Linked DNA regions of Kluyveromyces lactis. The protein of the gene in region 2 interacts with the protein of the main gene of each other region in a biochemical or structural test. Links are inferred from orthologs where the notes say so. Each region holds a gene or a part of one and is shown on either strand. Other genes may lie near its edges.

Region 1 (2,464 bases), on a different chromosome or scaffold from region 2:
GAATAGCCAGTGAAGATGTCGGTTTATCTGATCCTTTCCAACTACCTTTTTCTGTGGCAGCTCATGATGCAGTAATGAAGGTAGGGTTACCTGAAGCTGAGCTAGCTCTTGCTCAATGTGCTGTCTCCTTAAGTAGAGCATCAAAATCGGTAGAATTGTATCGAGGGTGGAACAAACTCAAGGCAATGCTTAAAACGAACGAATCTGGAGCAGCTGATTGTCCCATCCCGTTACATATTCGTAATGCTCCCACTCGGATGATGGAAGAGTTGGGATATGGGAAAGGTTACAAATACAATCCAAACTTTAAAGATGGAAAAGTTCTGCAAGAGTATTTTCCACAGGAGTTACTTGACAGGTGTGGTCGTAAGGAACTCACGTTTCTCAATGGTAAAGCACTTGGAGACATGGAAGATCCAGATCTGACTTCTCACCAGAACTAAGTGGTGCTCTACAAGTCTAACATTAAATAATCTACATTTAAGACACTATGATAGAGTAACATCATTTAGATACGTTGAAACAGGCTTCAAGCCTATATAAGCAGGGCAGTACGATTTAGAGTACATAAGTAATAATATTCAGTCTACTTACTAGAAAGGTGCCATCAAAAGCGAGACTAATGTCACTAGAGGTGTGCTTGCAGACTTTATCATATCGTTCAAATGAATGAGAATAGCAGCACAGATATGGGGTCAATATAGTCCGCAGATAGCATGGAATGGAATAAAAATACAGGGGGGATGAAAAAGGTCTGAAATGAGATAAATTCATTCAAATGCGAAAAGAGAATATGTTGCCTGTAAAAATCAGAGAAGTAAACTTAAAATTGAGTTTTGTAGTACTGCCCTAGTTCGCTCTTGGCCGAGTCAAACTCTTTCCTTGCCAGATCCAGAGAATTTTGAATCAATTGTATATAATTATCGTCTGTAATACCGGATCCTTCTCTTTTCTGTCCGTAATTTTGAATTCTCTCACAAACCCATGCAATCCTCTGTAGACCTAGGGATGCCGAAGATCCTTTCAAAAAGTGTCCCAGCTGTCCCAGTTGATCCAAGTTCTTATCAGTTTTGATGTGCTGTTCGATTTGGTTAAAGGTAGAAGTCGCTTGCTCAAAGAATTGTATTAGTAAGGATTGTGAAAAGCCAGCATCATCTTCATCCATGGAAACAATTTCATTGAGAATATCCCAATTGATCACTTTATCTGGAATTCTAGGTGTTTGGGACATTATATATTGTGCTTTTCGTTAAAAAAAGTCACTGAATGATTCTCTCGTGTATCAGGGTAGGTCGGTTTATTCAATGGAAGGTCAGTAAATTAGCATGTATTGAAGAGTTCAATATTGCAAAAGCAAAATGAAACAAAACTCCAATGGATTAAGTATCGGCAGCTCCGAATCAATAGCGAAAAAAAAAAAAAAAATAAAGAGACTTCCGTTCAACAAAGACAGATAGATATAACAAAAGAAACCTTTTTGTATATACAATTGTCTTAACAGAAATGGATTAGCTTCAATTGCACACCCCGTTATATGAATTCTTTCAAATGTAGTCTTACACTTGATCAATTGCACCTTAACTGAGAAGTTCGAATATTTCGATTCAAAAAAAAAAAATTAAAAAATGAAAATAATCATATGTGGAAAAAAGTAAGGAAAAGAGCTTAATCCGAAAAGAGATGTATTATAAGTTTTTAGAATCAAACGTCTTTAATGACAGAAGTTGCAAATCCTGGATATTTGAGCCTAATTGCTGCCAACAGAATGTATATGCAAGCTGCCAAGTTGAAAAACTTCACTTGGTTGTTTCATTTTCTGGGCAAGACAAAAAGGTTGATTGTTCAAGCCAAGTAATTGAAGCAGGAAACTTATTTGAAAAGGGCCAATCTTCATCACAAGTACAACAACTGTGACTTGATGCTAGTCTTGGCAGTGTTATTTAGCAAAAAAATGAAGAAACCTGCCCGAAAAATACCCTGTTGTCCTTACATAGGTCTTCGTTCGAAGATATTCAACTTGATAGACAGAAACCCTTTTATCTGTTTTCTTCTTAATGTTAGTTGACGTAACTCTTTCGTAAGGTGCCTTGGTTCCTAGTGACGGAAAAAGGATAAAAAAATCGTGGTAGAAGCATAATGCTAATTCCCACTACTGATAGAGAAAAAGCTAATCTACTCAAGGACAAAAACAAGAGCAATTATTTCCTTGATGTAACTAAATGCGTACGCCATCTGAGTACGATATAGGCGCCAAATTCTTATAAGAAGAAACATGATTTCCTCCGAAGCATTAGACCATCTGCAGCCAATATTTTCAATAACCTGCAATATATTTATTTCTTACTGATGAAGGATACTTGACAGAACTGAGATGTATTTGTCTCTTGCTTATTGAGCTATTCCTCATTGCAAGCTTTGATGCGACATTCGAAGCACTCAGTTGGGTAAATAAGGACCGTGTGAA
Region 2 (3,525 bases):
AAACCCGCTGTGCAGTTGAGTTCACATTAGACGACATTATTAAAGGATTTAAGAAGAGTATATAGTATTTATTCATGTACATCATCTGTAAAATAGTGTTGTATTTTCCTTCAAGTCATGGAACAAATACTGGTTTTCCACAACGTGTAGTGCAGGAATATCCAGCAAGGCACCACCACGGGTTATAGCCAACGTTCCGGTCACGTCTTTGGCCTTACCGGTGTCCAAGGGTCTCACCGACAGTACTAGGAAACTTTTATGGAAACATGAAGTGGTAAACCTTACAAACTCGACGGTATCCTTACCCAGATGTTCTGGGAAATCGTTATCGAAGGACTCCACAGAGTTGACGACTATAAGTAAGGAACATAGTTTAAGTAAAGGGTTGATCAATTTCAAATGCAACTCGTCACTGTTCAACTTGAAGAGTGCCATTAAAATTTCCGGTTTTTCCAATATTACCACTGAAGGACTGTTGGATAACGACTCTTCAAACTGCTTCAAAACCCATTCAATAACTACATCCACAGGTTTACCTACGTTTTTGACAACAAGATCCTCTGCTATTTGTAAGACGTTGTATCTATTCCGTGGTACCTTCAACCTGTCAAATGCAGTTGTAAAATACGATTGATGGTTCAAAAACGATCCGACTACCACTTTCACGGGATCACTGCTGCTCAAACCGCTATTGGATCCACTGTTATTCCCATTTAAAGAGACGGGCCCACCTAAAGTGACCGTTTCCACAAGTGCGTTGACAAACCAGGATGCATTCGTCGCTACCGTATCTGTCACCAAAACCAAATTGGATGACGAATCTGTGAATAGATGCCTGGAAAGCACAGAATGGTCACTAAAAATCTGAAGCTCCTGTTTTTGCACCGACATATCCCTTGTAATACGTGCTCAAAGAGTTACGAGCAGCTGAATAGAGCCGGTGGTACCAACAAGAAACGTCATCTCATCGCATCGTTTGCTACTATTTCATTTTGAAATTCAACCTGTAAAGTATAAAAAAAAAAAAGACAAAAACTGGGAAACACCAGACACAACAAAACAGCAGAAAAGTAACACTTCCGGTAGTTAACCTCGAACATGGATTACATTACTATGTACCTTATAATCAGGCCTATTTAAATATTTAGTTCTTATTCAAAAATAATAGTTCTACCGGAAGTAAATTACCACTTTCCGTTGCCAAATTCACCGAAATTGCTCGTCTTTTTCTTCTGGGTTCATGAAAAATTGTGTCCAGAAAGGTTTAAAAAAAACACACGAACCGAAATGACGATAACAAACACAACGTCAAACTGTTTAAATAGCAGACGTCTGTGCCTCTTGGTTGTGGTTTATCACGGACTGTATCACTGTTGCCGTTTGTTCGTGTGGCATTTAACCTTCTGAATTGTGTTTCTTTTGTTCCAAGAGTACAGGTTTTCTTTTTAGCGAAGTGATTTTATCTGGGGCTTAGGTTTTACGGGCTTAGTTGTACTTGGTTCACTTTGACACTGACGGTATCAGTAAGAGAGTTTCTGCTGGATTCAGATTCATTCATAGAACAAAGGACGAGCAAAAGAACGGACGAAAAAAAATGGATGATTTAGGTGAACAATTGAGTGAGGGCCATAAAGACGATTACGACAATGGAATTGGCTCTGTGCCTGGAGGGTCTGGTTCCAACGGTAAGGGGAAGAGTCAAAGGACGTCGTTCAATGATTTTGTTAGAAAATTGTTTCTAATATTGGAATCAGAGGAATATACCAGCATTATATCGTGGTCGCCTGATGGTAAGAATTTTATAGTGCTAGACACGAATAAATTTACGACGGATATCTTGCCTAAACACTTCAAGCATTCGAATTTTGCGAGTTTTGTGAGGCAGTTGAACAAGTACGACTTCCATAAAGTCAAGAGGAAGAAGAACGAAGTGTCTGAGGGGATTCAAAACGCGTGGGAATTCAACCATCAGTATTTTAGAAGACACGATGAGGCAGGGTTGGATAACATTCGCAGGAAACCGTCATCACAGAAGAAAATACTGGTGGATGAGAACTCCGTAATAGTGAGGAAACTAGGTGGTGCACCCGGAGACGATGGTGCCTTCATTGCCGGTGACGAAGAAGGTATGACTGCGAAGATGCTTCTGAAAAACACGGTGAACAAGACCAAATTCAACCAATTAAAGCGGAAGGTGGAAGACATGGAAAACCAGGTCCAGTATCTAACAAATGAGAATCATAATATGAAACTGGACCTTCAAAAGATTCAGTCTAAGTACAATATGGCGTTGGAAAGTCTCCTTTCCACTGAATCCTTTAACTCCCAATTAATTTCTAATTTCCAAATTCTTGTCGATGCGTTATCGCAGCAGGGTTTAAAAGTACCCGTAGGTTTATCCTTCGAAAAAGGTAATTCTCGTGCGGATAATAAGTCTCATCAGCAACGTCAAATATCGGACTCAACCGGATCAACACCCAATGCAAATATCCCAGGGCTGTCGGTTAATACTACGTTACAGAAACAGGAACCCATTGAGCTACTTCCGATGGACCAACATCCTGTCTTGCGTCCAGGATTCCACGTTTTACTTGTCGAAGACGATTCTGTTTGTATCCAACTCTGCTCCAAATTCTTAAGAAAATATGGTTGCTCAGTGGAAGTGGTTACTGATGGATTATCTGCCATTTCCACGCTGGAAAAACAGCGATTTGACTTGGTATTGATGGATATTGTTATGCCAAATTTAGATGGTGCTACAGCGACATCCATTGTTAGAAGTTTTGATAATGAAACTCCCATCATTGCCATGACAGGTAACATCGATGATCAGGACTTAGTCACTTACTTACAACACGGTATGAATGATATCCTAGCTAAACCGTTCACAAAAGATGACTTACACTCGATGCTAATACGATACCTCAAAGATCGGATCCCGTTGTCTGAACAAAGACAAAATTCTAATAATGACCCTAAAGCGTATGTAGAGGAACCAATGCTAAAGAAACCGCACATATAAGACAGTTAAGGTATCCTTCATGCTGCTATCAAAAAAAAAGATAAAAAGAGAAATGGGCCAGAAAACAGGACACTTCATTTCACTTCAAGAACTCTTGTTTGTTTTCTTTCTCCATTATTTTAAACACCAAAAAAGTCCTCTTTTATTATACGTTTGGTCTGTGCTTTTTCGGTTATTAATTCTATTCTGTACTTCCTATTATTGATGGTACATCGATCAAAAGTACGGTAAAGTTGTATCTATATCCTTCTTATTACTTATAAAATTATTGGTTTTAGTAATTATCTTTCAATCTTCGTCTCGTTGGATCTTTTATGACGTTGACAGATGAGTATATTTGTGTATACGTACAGGTATATTATGTATGCTCATTCGAGTATGATAAGCAGAGTTTTATTCTTCTTCGACGGCCAGTGTGACATGGCTATTGAATCGCACAGACATTCTTCTCTTGGAATTGACATCGGATGGGATTTCTAGATCGAACTCATCACCGTTTTCTA

Evidence for each region.
Region 1: of the proteins of SKN7 (region 2) and YPD1, one has a biochemical effect on the other in vitro, tested with the Saccharomyces cerevisiae proteins (2 studies listed by BioGRID). The link is inferred for Kluyveromyces lactis from reciprocal best matches to the Saccharomyces cerevisiae genes SKN7 and YPD1.

What each region holds. Positions count from the first base shown.
Region 1 is NC_006040.1:1,627,339-1,629,802, reverse strand, and holds YPD1 (Ypd1p), read right to left. Parts: upstream 1,232-2,464; coding exon 824-1,231; downstream 1-823. Other genes in the region: ssDNA-dependent ATPase MGS1, read left to right, coding at 1-443. UniProt on the Saccharomyces cerevisiae protein: Phosphorelay intermediate protein that is part of the branched SLN1-YPD1-SKN7/SSK1 two-component regulatory system, which controls activity of the HOG1 pathway and gene expression in response to changes in the osmolarity of the extracellular environment.
Region 2 is NC_006037.1:895,337-898,861, forward strand, and holds SKN7 (kinase-regulated stress-responsive transcription factor SKN7), read left to right. Parts: upstream 1-1,594; coding exon 1,595-3,022; downstream 3,023-3,525. Other genes in the region: TGL3 (bifunctional triglyceride lipase/lysophosphatidylethanolamine acyltransferase), read left to right, coding at 1-65; Elongator subunit ELP6, read right to left, coding at 82-891; SET5 (S-adenosylmethionine-dependent methyltransferase), read right to left, coding at 3,416-3,525. UniProt on the Saccharomyces cerevisiae protein: Transcription factor that is part of a SLN1-YPD1-SKN7 two-component regulatory system, which controls gene expression in response to changes in the osmolarity of the extracellular environment.